Cricetulus griseus: one gene and its partner. The protein of the gene in region 2 interacts with the protein of the main gene of each other region in a pairwise test. Links are inferred from orthologs where the notes say so. Each region holds a gene or a part of one and is shown on either strand. Other genes may lie near its edges. The genes, in order: Trib3 and Atf5.

Region 1 (8,645 bases), about 130 Mb from region 2:
CATGTTGGTGGCAGTGTGCCACCATAGCAGCCATCTGCCGGAAAAGCACAATAGCCTCGGGCTCGGGAATACCGCGGCGGCTGCGCACCAGGCTGTGCAAGTCCCCATGGGTCTTCGAGAAGAAGGTGTAGAGGAACTGAGAGCCCAACAGGATGTCTGCGGGATGGGCCACGTGCTGATGGGTAGGCAGCCGTGCATAGGGTGCCAGCACCTCCCGGGCCTCACAGGCTGGGTACACCTGGGGACAGAGCCAGGTGTAAGCACAGCTAAGGGACCTGGGAAGCCTAGCTGGCCTAGCAAAGGAGGACAGCCAACCATCACACACGCTGTGAGCTACACACACAGGGGGCGCTGCTTAGCAAGTCACTCACAGCCTGACATCAGCCAACTTTGGGCAGGCCACACTGGGGCCACAAGGCCAGCAAGTAGCCCATTTGGGACTAGAATTGGTGCACCCATCTCTGTGCTCTAAACTGACACCCTGTGTGACCTTATGCCTCAGAGAACTGAAACCAAATAGAAAATCCCTCCTGGGGGCAGACCACCACCAAAGCCCCCCTCACAGCCGGCTCAGTAACCTTTCTGCAGCCCCTGCTCAGCTGATAGGACTCAGCATTGCCCTGTTTGTGTGATGTCCATGGTGCAGCACAAGCAAGCCCAGAGATCACGTCTTTCAAAGGAACCAAGAAAGAAGCTAGAATCCAGAATACTTTGTTTTTCAGTCTTGGAAATCAAAGCCAGGACCATTCTTTGCTAGGCAAGTGTGAGCTAATATTTTGGAAGGGAACACTTATTTTAGAAAGTTCTGGCCTGCCATGGTGGCATGCACCTTTAATCTCAGCACTTGAGAGGCAGAGGTAGGTGGATCTCTGTGAGTTTCAGGCCAGCCTGATCTACAAAGTCCCAGGCTTGCCAGAACTACACAGTGAGATTGTGTCCAACGTGTGACCCCAGGATTCAGAAGGGACCTGAATAATCCAAATACCTTGGGGACCAGGAAAGTTTCATTAAGAAATATCTGGAGGTACAAACCTCCGGTTCAGCTCCGGCCTACAATTGTATTGCAGATTCGAGCTAATCTGTTGAATGACATTTGGCCTCAGTGGTGAATGTCCCCTAGTTTGCATCTCTACATAACTAAGCATTTGAATAGGCCTGCACCTGGGCAGAAGGCTAGGTGTGTAAGTAAGGGCAGAGAGTTAGGAGCCATCTAGCAGAGAGATCAACTGAAGGAGATAGAAATGGCCTCGTGGCCTTGGAAGCATGGTTAGATAACAGACAGGAAGATGTCCAATAAACAAGAGACTCTAGTTTTACAACATGGAACTGAGAGCTCTCTAAAGATGACAAGATGCCTGTGTTTGGTCTTTATTGCCATTGGGTTGCTAGGAGTTTCCAAGTCTACTCTTCCAAGTCCACTCAGGCCGAACCTCAAGTCTACCGTGGCTTGGGGCTGAGACATGCCGGGCTATGCCACAAATACAGCCATGGGAAAAACTTCCCAAATTGGGGGCATTTGGGAAATGCATTCAGAGTTTGTGGACATTAAGCACTTGAAGGAACCGGCTTCCTTTTGGCAGCCATAACAGCCGAACACGTGCTTGCCATAAACCTGCCTTGGTCACTTAGAGGTCAGATGCCTGTCTCGTGACAAGGAACCTTAGTCACTTAGAGGTCAGATGCCTGTCTTGTGACAAGGAACCAATCAGAAGTTAGCTGGTGGCGCTATGCTTTACGACCCTGGGTGTGCTTTACGGACAAGCGCACGACAATGACGTAGAGAGCATAGCAACCACCCTGGGAGGGCCTATGGGCCATAACAACCAGTTGACCAATCAACACAGGGCAAGCCCTCCAAGCCTGGAGGCACACCAATCATGAGCCTGTGCGTACCCCTAGACACTCCCCTTACGCTGCCCTATAAGATCTTTTGGGAGACCCAAGGAGCCGTCTTTTCTCGCCATCCGCCATGGCGGGTGGGTGAAAGACCCGAGCTAACATGGGGTTAGTTCGTTAAATTACAATAAAGCCTCATGCAGTTTGCATCAAGCTTTCGCCTCCATTCTGTGTTTGGGGTGGCCGCCGTCCTGGGCTAAGATTCTGGAAGCCTCAGCTTTCTGAGGGTCTAACACACTCACCCGGAAGGTGGGTCCAGTATTATGGAGAATGGAACCGAAGTTCGGGGAAAGGGGGGTGACTTGTGGGAAGCCACACTGGACCCTGTTAGAAGCTGGCTATTGCAGAGCTGATATAGCACTTTGTTGCTTTTGACTGTAATATAGTTATTCTATGAAAACGTCAAATGTGATCATTAATATAAGGCGAGAGGCTGGAGAGATGAGTCAATCAGTGGTTAAGAGCACTGATTGCTCTTCTAGAGGACCCAGGTTTGATCCCCAGCACCCACATGGTAGCTCACAACTGTCTTTGTTTTGTTTTGTTTTGTTTTTCAAGACAAAGTTTCTCTATGTAACAGTCCAAGCTGGCCTTGAATTCATTGAAATCTGCCTGCCTCCTGAGTGTGTGACCAGTGCCCGGCTCACAATTGTCTCTTAACCCCAGTTCCAGGGGCTCTGGACATACACCAAGCAAAATACCCATATACATAAAACAATAAATTTTTAAAAAGCTACGGCAACATGGAGGAAATAAATGTACATACTACTTTTTCTTTCTCCTCCAAAGCCTGGCCCTGCCTAGTATCATCTTTGTACCTCTTTATTTTTTTAGAGAGGGGGTAAGCTTTTTGAGACATCTTTCTATGCCTCCCTGGCTGTCCTGGAACTCACTATGTAGACTAGGCTGGCCGCCCACTCACAGAGATACACTTGCCTTTGCCTCCTAAGTGTCAGGATTATAGGTGTCGCTACAGTGGGCCCTCCTCCCCATGCCTCCTTCAACTTCTGACAGGCACTGTCCTTTGTCGTCTGGAAGCCCCGCCCCCCCAGACTTCCCCTGCACTCCCACATGTCTGCCTCCTTCTCTCTCAGCTTCTGGCTCCCCACTGGCACCAGCTTTATTCCCATGATGCTCATCATTGCCTGTTCTCATCTGGTGTGTGCACCTGTGCAAGCCAGAGGAAAACCTTAGGTGCCATGCAATTTCTTTCTTGAAGTTTATTTTCAATCCTGTGTGCCTGTCTGTCTGTGTATGAATGTATGTGTGTACATGAGTGCAGATGCCTGAGGAGGCCAGGGTTTCCCTGGAGCTGGAGTTGTATAGGTGGTGGTGACTTGCCTCAAGTGGATGCTAGGAACAGAACTTGGGTCTCTGCAAGTTACAAACACTCTAAGCCACTAAACCATGTCTCTAGCTCTTTTATTCATTCTCTCTCCTCTCTGAGATAGAATCTCTCACTGACCGCGGAACTGACTCACTAAATAGGTTAGCTGGCTGACCAGTGAGCTCTGGAGGTCTGCCTGTCTTCACTTTCTCAGTGCAGGATTACAAGTATGCTTTCTCTTTCCCCCATCTCCTCCTCTCTCTCTCTCTCTCTCTCCCTCCCTCCCTCCCTCCCTCTCTCTCTCCCCCACCATGCAGATTCCGAGGCTCACCAGCTGTTTATATCATCTCTCCATGACTCTCACTAGAATGTCAGTTTGATAGCAGGAGCATTGGGACTAAGTTTTTTTTTTATTTTTGAAACAGACTCTCAGTATGTACCTCAGGCTATCCTGAAATTTGAGGCAATCCTCCTGTCTCAACCTCTCCAGTGCGCTGGGATTTCAGGCATGTACCACCACACCCTGCTTGGGTCTGGTTTTTGGCCATAGCTGGTGCACTGCTGGTGCACTGCTTGAATGATGTCCTATGAAGTTTTGTCAGTTGAGAAGCCCAGTGATAATCTGCAAAACCAGAACCCTGCAATCCTCTGGGTCCCAGTCCTTTTGCAGGGTCCTGGGATGCTAGGGGGAGGGTCCACAGATCATACCTTGCAGGTGTACTGTGTGCCTGTGGGGCAGTGCAGGGCCCGGTAGGTGTGGCTGCCTTGCTCTTGTTCCAAGAGGACATAAGGTCCCAGTCGGGTTGCAGGGGCCACAGCAGGTGACAAGTCTGAGGCAGGAGGTGGACTCGGGGACAGCAGGAAGCAGGGTGGCCCAGGTTCGGGTCCTCTCGCTCGTTTTAGGACTGTACTTTCGGCATCAATGTTGCCATCGAACTCCAACGGTTTCTTCCGGCAGGGGACACCAGCAGAAGCAACCAGAGGGGTGGCTCGCATCTAGAGAGATGGGAAGAAAGACTGTTTGGTAACCCCTGTTTTACCTGCTAGGACCCTCTCGCAGAGAATCATCACCCTGGGTTTTCCGAAGCTCCCGAGCCACGGCGTTCTCAAACTTAGTAATAATTCAGTAAGGAAAGCTGGGCATACTGGCACATCCATGCACTGCCAGCGTCGGGGAGGCAGAGGCAGGGGGATGGCTAGTTCCTGGCCGGCCTGGGATGCATAATGACTGCAACCGCTTAGTCCCAGGGCGCTCCCAGCCTTCGGAGTTAGAGAGCGAGAAAGCGAGAGTGAGAGAGAACGAAAGAGAGAGTCCGGAGAGAATATGCACACGAATATTCATAAATATGTTCGGACTTCCAACATCCTTGCCAGACTCGGGGAAACAACCCCGCCGCCCCCCATTTGCGGCTCCCCACCCGGTACCTTGTCCTAGGGTTCCTCACGGGTCTCAGAGCCGCCTGCCTGCGCCCGTGCACCGCAGCCCGCTTCACCCAGACGATCTCGGGGTCCCCAGCACGTTCGTGCCAGACCTCAGCCTCCGCGGATTCAGCAGTAGCGGCTTCCGCTGCTAAAATGCTTCGGCATGGGGACCCGGGCTCTCATCCCCGCCTGGCTGATGTAAACCTGAGCTAATCTCCAGCTGACGCCCTGCGGTTTTGGATTGCACCATCCACGACCCGCCCCTGTAGCCGAGCGAGCGTGCTCCGCCTGCGCCTTCGGGCCACTCGCCCCCCACCCCCGCTTAGCCCCCTGAAGTAGTACCCAGAACCACCAACTCTCCTTACCGTAGTTCTTTACACCTATTTCCCCATATATGAGATGGGAATGAGATCCTAGTGAAAAACAAAAAACAAACGGAGGCTGTTTAAAAATCGCGTGCCACCCTACTAAGCCCCGAACTTGACCTGGGCAAGAAGTCCCACGTTCTGAATGCTGGGAACCTCCCCTCCAAAATAACCCTATCAAGTGCTCACCCCGCTCTGCTCAGACTCGTGTTGCAGCTCAGAAAAGCCACTTAGCGCCCTGGCTGACTGGGGGTGTGGCTCTGTGAGAGCACTTGCCTACCACGCTTAAGTTCCTGCTCTGTAACAAAGCCAAAAACAACCAAAGAAAAGGTAGCGTCAGTTCCCTTCTCCATAAACAGAGGATTTGGAACGGTGCTCTCTTCGTATAGTTGCTGTGAGCCGTAGTAAGTTCGTGAATGCAAAACGCTTAGATGAGCTGGGTGTGATGCACACCTGGAACCTCAGTTACTCGAAAGCCTGAGTCAGGAGGATGGTCAGTTTGCCCGTGTAGCTCTAACTTGCTTGGAACTCACTCTGTAGACCAGGCTGATCTCGAACCCATAGAGATGCCCCTGTCATGAAAAACAACAACAAAAAATTGTGGCTGGGGAGATGGCTCACAGGTTAAGAGCACTGGCTGCTCTTCCAGGTTCAATTCCCGGCACTCACATGGCAGCTCACACCTGTCTGTAACTCTAGTTCCAGGAGATCCAGCAGACATACACACAGGCAAAACACCAATGAACACAAAATAATAAAAATAAAATAACAAAATAAACAACAACAAAACAAAACGTAGAGAAGTATGTGGGATACCAAGGCACTCAGTAACTAGGATGCTGCCCTGGACACTGGAGGTGGACGGATCGAACAAGAGTCCAGCCACAGCTGAAGCTAGACATGGTAGTGACACCTGCCTCCATTCTGCCACCCTGGCAAAGCCCCAAAGGCCCAGTGCTCCTGTCATACTAACTTATGTCTTTATACTTGAGTTCATCCATATCAAAAAAAAGGGGGGAAAAATTCCTCCAGAAAGAGCTAGAGGGAGGCAGGACCAAGACACCTTTGCTTCTCTAGTTCTGGAAGCCAGGGAACCAGCTCTCTTGTGTCTCCCTCTCCCAAATCCGAATACAGCAGAGGATTCTGGGATCTAATTTGCTTCTGCCCACCCGGCCGCTGGGGAGGGATAAATGAACTTATTTTCAGCACCCAAGACAGGTGGAAGACCCCAGAGCTGTGGGAGACAAACGGTGGGGGTTGTTTTCTGTGTACCCACCAGCATCAGGCCTGAGCTAGGTATGCTTGGCATTGCTCACTGCTTGCCCTTCTTCAAATGCTGTGGACCCAAGGTAACTACACTGACCACTCTGCCTCACAGATCTTATTAATAGAAAAATAAGAATAAGAATAACCACAGTAATTTGAAGTAGATCACAGTGCTGGGCGGTGGTGGCTCACACCTTTAGTCCTACCACTCAGGAGGGAGAGGCAGGTGGTCTCTGAGTTAGAGGTCTGCCTGGTCTACCGAGTGAGTTCCAGGACAACTAAGGCTACACAGAAAAACCCTCTCTCAAAAAAAAAAAAAAAGAAAAAAAAGAAAAAGAAAAAGAAAAAGAAAAGAAAAGAAAACACAAAACAAAAAGCCCAACAAATTTTTCAAGATTCGGTAATTGCCAGGATAATCCCAGCAGTAGTTCAAATTCATCTTCTGCTGTATTGCAAGTTTGAGGCAACACAGACCCTGTCTCAAAAAACTTTAAACTTTTTTTTATTTTTAGTTGTTGGGTTTTTTGGGGTTTTTTTGTTTTGTTTTTCAAGACAGGATTTCTCTCTGTAGCTTTGGAGCCTGTCCTGGAACTCATCTGTAAACCAGGCTGGTCTTGAGCTCATAGAGATCCGCCTGCCTCTGCTTCCTGAGTGCTGGGATTAAAAAGAAATTCACTTTATTTGCCTACTGTTTTTAGTATAGCCTGAACATGTTATCTCAACAAAATTGCCAATAGCATTAAACACTCTCAGAATCTGTTTTTTTTTTTTTTAACTTTCGTTTTATATTTTATATGGTTTGGGTTTTGTTGTTGTTTCATTGAGACAGATTTATATAGCAGAAGTTGGCCTTGGATTTCTAATCCTCCTGCCTATTTCCCCAATGCTCTGATGACAAGTGTGTGTGTCAATGTCAATTTACTGTGGTGCTAGGGACTGGGCATACTAAGTAAGCACTGTGTCAGCCTCCATCTTTTCCCCCATTCCTCCTCTCCTCCAGCTCCCCTCACTACCCCCTCCTCCCATCTGCTCCTCAGAGAGGGTGAGGCCTCTCCTAAGAAGTCTACTAAGTCTGTCCCATCATCTCGTTGAGGCAGGACCAAGGCACCTCTCCACCCCCACACCCCTGTGTCTAGGCTGGGCATGGTATTGAGATAGGATCTCATGCAGCCTACTCGGGCTTCAGATTCACAGTGCTGCTGTGGCTGGCCTGGAACTCTTGGCCCTCCCGCCTTCTTGCATGCTGAGATTACAGGTGCATGCCACCACATTTGGCCTGATTCAAAGGTCTCATTGTGTAATTAGGCTGGTGTCTAACTCTCTGGAGTGCTGAGATTACAGGCATAGGGCAGCACCCCCAGCTCTCTAGTGCGTGTTTTACATTTCTTTTGAATCCAGAGGATCGTGGGAACTAAACTATTAATGGTTCAGCCAGGTATGGTGGCCCGTGCCTGTAATCCCAGGCCTTAGGAGACTGAGACAGGAGGATTGACATAAATTCAGCCTAGGCTATCGAGTGAGTCCTTACCTCCACAAACAAAACAAATGTGGGCTGGCAAGATAGCTCAGCGTGTAAAAGGTGCCTGTCACCAAGGCTGACCACGTGAGTCGGATCCTCAAAACCCACGTGATGAAAAAGAAACCTGTTATCTGACTTCCTCAGCAAACTGTGGCCCACAAATTCCCACACACATATGCACAGAGAAGAAATCTATAAATGTATAGCATACAAGAAAACTAATGAGTTTACTGAGAAAATAAAAATTGGAAGAGAAGGTTGGTATAGGTTAGTGTATTCTCCCATACTGGCACAGTGTCACTGTGTGGGAAAACTAACTCACTGCAGAAGCGTGGCATCTCCTCCCATGTGAGACTCTCGCTCCCCCAGTGCCTTGGGGAGGAAGTCTTACTTCAGAGTTTCTCTGTGTTTCACACCTCTCTCTGAAGAACTGGAGAGCAAAACTGTGACTCTGAGGCTTCAGTCAGAGCTGGATTGAGCTGGGATTGCATAATCTTGTTTTGTTCTGCTGGCATTTATGGTGACCTCTTCCTCCATCAGTTTTTGGGGTTTTGTTTTCTGTAGTGCTGGAGGCCAAGCTGAGGCCTTTTGCGTGTTAGACAGAGGCTCAGTGATTTTTTTTTTCATATTTTGAGATAGAATTTTTTCTTATTTTTATTTTTTATTAATTTATTTTTTACATTCCAATCCCAGTTTCCCCTTCCTCCTCTCCTCCCGCTCTCCCCATTCCCCCCTCCTCCCATCTGCTCCACAGAGAGGGTAAGGCCTCTCCTAAGAAGTCTACTAAGTCTGTCCCAAGGGCTCTTCACTAACCACAGGAGGCTACATCTAGGCAAGAACCTGCCAGTGA
Region 2 (8,765 bases):
GGTCCTTAGTTAGGAAAATGAGCCAGATCCGATGCCATATGCATTCCAATTGGTAAGTCAACTGACAGGCCGATGCTCACCCTATTCTGCAGACAAAAACCAAGATAAGCAGGCCCCATAAAGCCCAAGCCTTTTCTATCACATAGGGCTGTTCCCTCAAATGGGAAACCAGGGCTTGCTGCAATAGTACAGGTGATGAGGGAGGCAGCTGGATGGATAAGAACAAAGATACATAGAAAGTATCGAAATGAAACCTCTCTCTTTGCATACTAACAAAAAAAAAAGAAAAAAAGAAAAAGCAAAGAAAACACAGATCTGATAAAGCATGTCTCCACTAGGGCAGGCTGGTATGGATAGCATCTAGCAACTGAAGCAAAGAACAAACCTAGATAATGGTCTGGGTTTGAGGACTTATGGGACCCTGATAGGGTGGAGAACCCTGCTCTATCAGGGAGCCATGAACAATTCTCTTTCCCTTTCCAGACTTCAGTCTTGTCTTCAATAACCAAGCTACAAGCCAGTAGGATGCCAGACCCCTTCTAAGCACAAAGCCCCAGATTCTCTGGGTTCTGCCCAGGCATGCCCCTCCAAGGACCCCTCCCCACTGCTGCCCTGGGACCTCCTCCTACCCAGGGCTTTGTTACCCAGGAGCTGTTGCCAGGTGCTCTGTGGCCCCCTGAGAATTCCCTCACCCTTTCCTACCCATCAGAGTCAAGGCTGATGCAACTGCCTGCAACCAGCCGCCTCACTCCTCAGCTCAGGCCCCTCCGCACTAGCAAAGAGTTCCAAGCAGCTCCACCCTTGCTCCTGGCTCCCCATAGGACGCTGTTTTTTTGAGAGGAGGTGAGGCTGCCATTTAAGTCTGAGTAAGGGTCAGGGATAGAGAGAATAACACGCATGACGGACACATGAAAACACAGACCCACATGTGTACTGGACAAGGCTCAGGGTCCAAAGATGTAAGGTGGCAGGCCTCCATGGTTGATGACCCGCCATAAAGCGACGATGCACAAATGCTGAGAAGGGCATGGTAACTAACTATGGAAAGCAGCACCCATTCAGCATGACTGAGTCAAGATGGAGGGGCTGTAGCTGGGTGGGACCCTGGGACAGAAAAAGGGAGTGCAGACCCACAGCTGCACCATGGGGAAAACTATGAGCCTGGTACTCCACCCTGGACTGTCTTTGCAACCTTTCTGATTATTCCAAAAGTTTACTTCAAAATACCAAATTAACTGGGTGGTGCTGGTATACCTTTAATCCCAGAACTCAGGAGGCAGACCTCTGTTTGAGGGACCCTGGTCTACAGACTAAGTTCCAAGACAGCCAGCGCTACACAGAGAAGTCCTGTCTCAAAACAAAAACAAAAATAGGGGCTGGAGAGATGGTTTAGCAGTTAAGAGCACTGGCTGCTGTTCCAGTTCACACCAATGCACATAAAATGAATTTTAATAAATTATTTAAAAAACAAAGAAATAAAAAAATAAAAGCCAAATTCGAGGGAAGGAGCAGCATGGGCACTGCACCACAGTACACTGTCTCAAAAATAAAACATCTATGGGAAAGAAACCAGAGATACTGTTTAAGTGGTAGAACGCTTGCCTAGCATGTATGAAGCCCTTGGGTCAATCCAGAATTACCTACAAAGGGTATGGTGGTACACATCTGTCATCTCAGCACTTGTGAGGTAAAGGCAAGAAGACTCACTCCTGCAAGTCCATCCTCAGCTACACAGCCAAGTTCAAGGCAAGCCTGGAATGAGGAGACTCTCAAAAACAAACACATAAACACATACCCCTCTATGGGGTGGAGATGTAGCTTCAATAGCCTATTTAATACAAGGCATCCAAATGCGATCCCTAATACATACCAGAAAGAAAGAAAGAAAGAAAGAAAAAGAAAGAAAGAAAGAAAAAGGAAGGAAGGAAGGAAGGAAGGAAGGACGGACGGACGGACGAACCCGTGGACAACCAGTGATATTCTGAAGGCACACCAGTGAACACAGAACACATCCATCCACTTCTGTATTAATAGCAGTCTTTATGTAGAGACTACTGTGTCTGTGATAAGATAGCTTAAGCACACCCCACACAGACTTAATACAGCTGGACAAGTGAGGACACTGGCAGAGGACAGAAGAGTGCCCACTCCAAGGGAAGGTGGTCAGGTCCCAAGGACTTCCTTCTAGTAACTTTCAAAATCAGTTTCCCCCACCTGCTCTGAATATGGCATTTTTCCTTTGACAATAGCAGGGGCTGGAACCCAGAACCTCAAAAGCAGTACTCTACCATGGACCCACAACCCCAACCCATTATTATTTTTATTTTTTGAAAATCAGGGTCTTGGTAAGTTCCCTAGACAGACTTTCTAGCCCAGGCAAGCCTTGAACCTTTTTTTTTTTTTTTTTTTTAATTACACTCTTATTCGACAAGTGTTGGTGGTACATGCCTTTAGTCCCAGCACTCAGGAGGCAGAGGCAGGCAGATCTCTGTGAATTCGAGACCAGCCTGGGCTACAAGAGCTAGTTCCAGGACAGCCTCCAAATCCACAGAGAATCCCTGTCTCCAGAAACAAAACAACAACAACAAAAAAATACACTCCTTTTCAGTAACACAGACATGTCACCACTCAAGTGTGGTGGAAGTCAGCCAACAACTTTCTGGCGTTGCTTCTCCTGGGATAACTCAGACTGTCAAGTCTAGAGACCACCACTCAGCACTCAGGCCCTGACCTTGACTTCCAATACTCCTGCTGGCCTGGCTTTTGAATCTTTTCTTAAAAACACATCGAGGCCAGCCAGGATAACCTTGAATTCATGATCCCTTCTGCTTCCACCTCCCAAATACTGGCATTATAGGTATGCACCAACCCCAGTTTATGTGGTGCTGGGGCAGAACTCAAGGTTCTTGAGTGAAATAGGCAGGCATTCTACCGAGTTCCATCTCCAACTCTTAATTTGGGTCTTGATTTAGTCTCTCAGCTGTATCAGGCAGGCTGACTTCCAGACGGAATGTCCAGACATGGATGGCCACGGGTGGGAAATGAGATTCATGCATCAGCCTAGGGAAGGACCATGGGGCTTCTTTGACTAAATGGAATATAAACATCCAATTTCAGACAAGGCCAGGAGAAAATTATCTAGTGAGGTCAGCAAGAGACCAAGGACTGAAAGGAAGTCAGGGAAAGGGGCAAAACAATGAACCACCTGGTAAGAGAGCTAAGAGGTCGTCGCAGGGGCAGAGCACCAGCCTGTAGAATGAGGAAAATGAAGATGCCCACAAACAAAAACCTTGGAAGGTAGGCCACACAGTGTGATCACACGGACATGCTGGATGGTTAAGGGCCCGGGTGGAGAGATTCAAATAGGTGAAACGATTCGGTGGGTAAAGTCTGTCAAACATGACAACCCGAGTTCCAACTCTGGGATCCACATGGTGGTAAAACAAAACAAAACAAAACAAAACTTCTCAAAGTTGTCCTCTAACCGCCACACACACACACACAATAAAGGTTTAAAAAGTGTTAACTAGGAGCCCTGTGATTAGGACTTCGTGGCCTACCTCCCATAGCTACTCTATTTGTGCGTTTATACACATTTGGGGGGCATTTTCCTGCTGCTGCTGCTGCTTTAATTCGCTTAAAATCGCTAAGCTAGCTTGAAATCGCCATCCCACGATGGGCCGACCCACGAGGGCTCACAGGAGGCGACGTCGGTTGGGACCGGTGGCGCATTCGTGAAGCATTCGTGAGCTAGCGAATCAGGAGAGCGAGTGCTGAGGGTCCGGGCGACATGGCGGGCCCAGGGTCGCCTCCGCCCCGTCGGGACCACGCGGGGGCGGGGCGGGGCGCGGAGGGATCCGGGAGGCCCGCGCTGCGCCGCCCCCGGTATATTTGTCCCCAGGCCCCGGGGCCGCCTCATTCTCCACCTTCTCAGAACCATTTCTCCTAACGCTCCCGCCACGCCGCCTCCGCCCGCCCAGCCCCCGCCATGGCTCTGTAGCCGTGATCCTGTGGTGCCCCCGGCCCGGCTTCCGCGCTCACCGCGCCTGCACTCTCCGCTCCCGCCGTCTGTTCAGCCGAGGCCGCCGTCGCCGCCTCTCCTTTCCGCAGCCATGGAGTGAGTAACCGCTCGCCCCTCCCTCTCCAACCGCCTTTCCCGCCCTTTCCCAGAGCTCGCGGGGCTTCACGGACCAGCCGCGTGGGGGTGGGGAGACGGGGAGCCAGGAACCGCGGCCGCGCAGGCGCAGAGAGGGACAATGGTGGCCGGTGGGTCCGCTGGGCATGCGCGCTGGGCTCGAGCCGTGGAGGAGGGTATGCTTCCGGAGGGTTGGGGGTGGTGGTTTAAAGACGGCTCGCTCGCCTTCGCTCCCGCACGCTGCTTCCCAGTGCCTCTCCCTCCCTCCCTCCCTCCCTTCTCCCAGGATGCGACCCACACCCCGTGGCGCACGCGCACTAACCTACCCGAGGCCGGAACTACGAAGGGCAGCTCTAGCGGCGTTACAATGGCCCGCTTTCAGGGTGCGAGCATGCGCTTTGACGCAGAAAGGAAGGGTGGGGTTTAAGTCAGGCCGATTCCTTGAGGCGCTGACTCAGGCCCCGCTTCCCTCCAATCAGGCACCTGCTGGGGCGGGGAATGCTTAGATTGACAGGGAAGACAAGGTTTAGGAACGTCTTTAAGGAGGTGGAGCTAGCACCGCAGGGGCGGGGCCTCTGGGACTTGCTAGTTGAGGGCGGGAACCGAGGTAGACAGGCAAGTGGGCGGGGCTTCTTGTAGAGTCTGTGGAAGTCGCCTAAATTTTTTTCTATTTTTTTGATTTAAATTAGAAACAAGATTATTTTACATGTCAATCCCAGTTCCCTCTCCCTCCCCGTCACCTAAAAATTTAAGGGAAGAGTGGGATTTGAGTGTGTGACACTGATGAAGGGCCCAGGCATGGCAGAATCCCTCTGGGAATCCCTGTGGGTCGGTGGACTCTAAAGGGTGTAAACTAAAGGGAATATTGATGTGGAAGGGGCATGGCTAGAAGACAATTCCCTTGGGATTCAGATTTTTATGAAGAGGGGCTGGAGGTGATTCCCCTAGGGAAACAATAGGTTTCTGTGTTGAGGGAGGAAATGGGGCTTGTGAGTTCAAGAATTCTCTTGGGAATGTGTGGAGCTCTGGAATTTGGGGAGAGAAGTGAAGTGTGAGGGGCCTGTAGGTCAAGCAGCTTTTAACCCAACCCAACCCCACCCCCTTTTGTCTCCTTCACAGGTCCTCCATCTTTGTCTTGCTGCCTGTTGTCACCCAGCTGAACAATCTCCCAAGCTGCCTCCCCACTATTGGTGCAGCCTCCATCCGTGCCCTGCGCCTGTGTCTCAGCCATGTCACTCCTGGCGACCCTGGGGCTGGAACTGGACAGGGCCCTGCTCCCAGCTAGCGGGCTGGGCTGGCTCGTAGACTATGGGAAACTCCCCCTGGCCCCTGCCCCCCTGGGCCCCTATGAGGTCCTTGGGGGAGCCCTGGAGGGCGGGCTTCCAGGGGGGGGAGAGCCCCTGGCAGGTAAGAACAGGTAGAGAGCAGAGGTGGGTTGAGCTTGAGGCAGGGAGGGAGGGCAAGAAAAGGAAGAATGTATTCATTCCCAAGATGAGTACTGAGGGCCTCAGCTCTGTTCTGGGTGTTCAGGGTTCAGAGCAAAGGGTCCCTAAGCTCATGGAACATTAGGGAACAGCTGTTGAACTGAAAGTGATGAAAGACCTAGTTGAGAAGTCACATAACCTCCAAGTAGACAGACATATGAACTGGGGGCTAGGGGATGAGAAGAAAGGAGCCATGATAAGGCCTGAGGTGCTTCCATCTAAGAGACTCTAGGGCAGACATCATTCTCTCTTAACTATAACAGCAATTGCAGCAATAATAAGTAGCTGGCCCTGGTGGCACATACCTATAGTTCCCCCTTTCAAGAGGCTTCTCATCCTCTTGAGCCCATGAGTTTCAGGCCAATCTAGGCTTCTCAAAAACAGAAAACAAGAATGAATAAAGATGGAATGTGAGAGACAGAGAGCAAGAAAGAGAGATCCAGAGAGAGTGAGAGAGTGTGTGTGTGTGTGTGTGTGTGTGTGTGTGTGTGTGATCTTAGCACCCTGGGGGAGAGGAAGAACCATCTAAAGTTAAGACTGCCCTCAGCTATGTTCAGGGCCAACCTAGACTACATGAGACCTTGTCTCAAATAAATAAATGAGTAAACGAGAGAAAACATAGGTATAGGGGTATAGTCAACCAGCCCTACAGATAAGACAATGGTTTCAGAAGTAGTAGCTGACTTGAGTGGATCATTAGTTGGTTGACTGCTTCACTAAGTGGTTAGCCTATTATTCCATTGCTTAGTTGGTAAATTAATTGGTTGGTTGACTGACTTGACTCATTGATTGGCTTGTTCACTGATTGGTTAGTGAGTTGATTAGTTTATTAACAAGTCTGGTGAACTGTTTGATTGGCTGATTGGTTGGTTGACTGGTGAACTCTGGTTCATTGCTCACTTCAGTGGGTTACTTGGTTGGCTACTGAACTGTATGGTTGGCTGATTGGTTAGTTGCCTCATTCATTGTTAGTGGATCAGTTTGTTGATTGATTGGTGAAGTATGGTTGGCTGATTGATTGTCTGACTTTTTCATTGATTAATGAATTGGTTGGTTGGTTGATTGGTTGGATGGTTTGTTACATGACTGACTGGTTTGTTGGTTGCCTGATTCATTGGGTAGTAGGTTGGTTGGTTGGCTGATAGATTCTATGGTTCACTCATTTGTTAGTTAATTCATTGGTTCGTGTCTTGGTGGGTACACTAATTGGTCTGTTGACTGCTTGAATAGTTAGTGGGTGGGTGGGTTGGTTGGTTGCCTGGTTCATTGGTTTCTTCCCTGACTTACTGGTCTGCTGACAGGTCTATAAATTCAATGGCTGGCTGGTCACTTTTTACATTGAGTGAGTGGGACATGAGTGAGCACCAAATGGGTAAAGAACAGACCTCAGGAGCCTTTTATGTCCCCCCTCCATCCTCAGGTGATGGCTTCTCTGATTGGATGACAGAGCGAGTTGACTTCACGGCCCTCCTCCCTCTGGAGGCCCCTCTGCCGCCAGGCACCCTCCCCCCACCCTCTCCAGCCCCCCCTGACCTGGAAGCCATGGCTTCCCTGCTCAAGAAGGAGCTAGAACAGATGGAAGACTTCTTCCTTGATGCCCCACTCCTCCCACCACCCTCCCCACCACCACCAGCATCCTCCCTGCCCCTGTCCTTGCCCCTGCCCACCTTTGACCTTCCTCAGCCCCCTGCTCTGGATACCCTGGACCTGCTGGCTGTCTACTGCCGAAGTGAGGCTGGGCCAGGGGATGCAGGCTTGGCAACCCTGCCTGCCCCCCAGCAGCCTCCTCCTTCTCTGGCCCCTCTGCCTTCACCCTCTCGCCCAGCCCCCTATCCTAGTCCTGCCATCACCAGAGGTGACCGCAAGCAGAAGAAGAGAGATCAGAATAAGTCAGCAGCTCTCAGGTACCGCCAGAGGAAGCGGGCAGAGGGCGAGGCCCTGGAGGGCGAGTGCCAGGGGCTAGAGGCACGGAACCGTGAGCTGAGGGAGAGGGCAGAGTCGGTGGAGCGGGAGATCCAGTACGTGAAGGACCTGCTAATCGAGGTGTACAAGGCCCGCAGCCAGAGGACCCGAAGCACCTAGGGTACATGCAGGTCCAGGCTGGAAGAGGGAGGTCTGTCATCCCTCTGCCCCCAGCTTCACTCCTACCCTCCATCCCACTCTTCTATCTCATCCATGTCTGGATTTCCCTACCTACTCCCCCTATGGTTATTTGGTTTAGTCAGTTTCTGTACCCTTTCAATGCAACTGAGGAACCAAGGCCCTCAGGGAATTTGAGAATACAGCCTGAACCCTGGTTTCTGGAGTCTAAAACAAGTGTGTTTTTGCAGGTAGTCCTAGTTGGGTTCGGGGGACTGTCAGGTCTGGCATGGAGGTAAGGCAGGAAGCCACTCAGGGTAACTGCTGATGAGAACCTAGTCAGGGAGGGAGGGCTTTAAGGAGGGGACATAGGACACACATGAGAAGTCAGCCAACGGAAGGGAGTCAAGTCCTCAGTACAGGAGAGATGTTAGCCAAGAGAGAAGGGTGGCTGTAGTTGGTAACTAGGGGCCATTTAGCTTTGGGAGAGAATCAGTGTTTGGTGAAGGTGTTAGGGAGGGATTGCATCTAGTGGGGGCTGATCCTCCAGGGGTTATGGGCACAAATAAAATGCAGAATTTCCTGTGGTCTGTGTGTCATATCTTGGAGAGGGGACGCTGGGGAGAGGGAGTCTCAGGGCACTCATAAAGACAACTGAGAATGAACCAAAGAGCTGGAACTGAAGCTCCACAATATGGGCCCAACATAAGAGAAGTTTAGTGTGATGGCTCATGACTGCAGTCCCAACATTTGGGAGATTGAGGCAGAAGGATTGCTCTAAGTTTGAGGCCAGCTGGGCTACAGAGTGAGCCCATCTCTAACAAAACAATGAAGCAAAACAAAAGGTAACTAGTAATATTTGTTCATTGTCAAGTACATCCACTTGGAAAGACCATGAGATATGACTGACCCATTAGTAGAGACATAAGTACCACATTGCAACTGAGGCCGATTACTGTTTACATTGGCAGCAGAAGAAAGACAAAGGTGGTACTAGCATATACACACTGAGAATGATACCATCAGACAGGGCTGGACCATTGCAGCAGTGGGCAGAGAGGGCTGGG

The links.
Region 1: the proteins of Atf5 (region 2) and Trib3 interact in a two-hybrid assay, tested with the Homo sapiens proteins (2 studies listed by BioGRID and IntAct). The link is inferred for Cricetulus griseus from reciprocal best matches to the Homo sapiens genes ATF5 and TRIB3.

Annotation. Positions count from the first base shown.
Region 1 is NC_048599.1:27,707,900-27,716,544, reverse strand, and holds the start of Trib3 (tribbles homolog 3), read right to left. Parts: upstream 5,271-8,645; 5' UTR 5,200-5,270; intron 5,059-5,199; 5' UTR 5,011-5,058; intron 4,839-5,010; exon of another isoform or gene 4,649-4,838; intron 4,220-4,648; coding exon 3,932-4,219; intron 239-3,931; coding exon 1-238. UniProt on the Homo sapiens protein: Inactive protein kinase which acts as a regulator of the integrated stress response (ISR), a process for adaptation to various stress. Inhibits the transcriptional activity of DDIT3/CHOP and is involved in DDIT3/CHOP-dependent cell death during ER stress.
Region 2 is NC_048599.1:153,649,742-153,658,506, reverse strand, and holds Atf5 (cyclic AMP-dependent transcription factor ATF-5), read left to right. Parts: upstream 1-3,979; 5' UTR 3,980-4,041; coding exon of another isoform or gene 4,042-4,283; exon of another isoform or gene 4,284-4,398; intron 4,399-4,461; exon of another isoform or gene 4,462-4,518; intron 4,519-5,254; 5' UTR 5,255-5,364; coding exon 5,365-5,542; intron 5,543-7,039; coding exon 7,040-7,701; 3' UTR 7,702-8,285; downstream 8,286-8,765. Other genes in the region: Il4i1 (L-amino-acid oxidase), read right to left, coding at 4,042-4,283.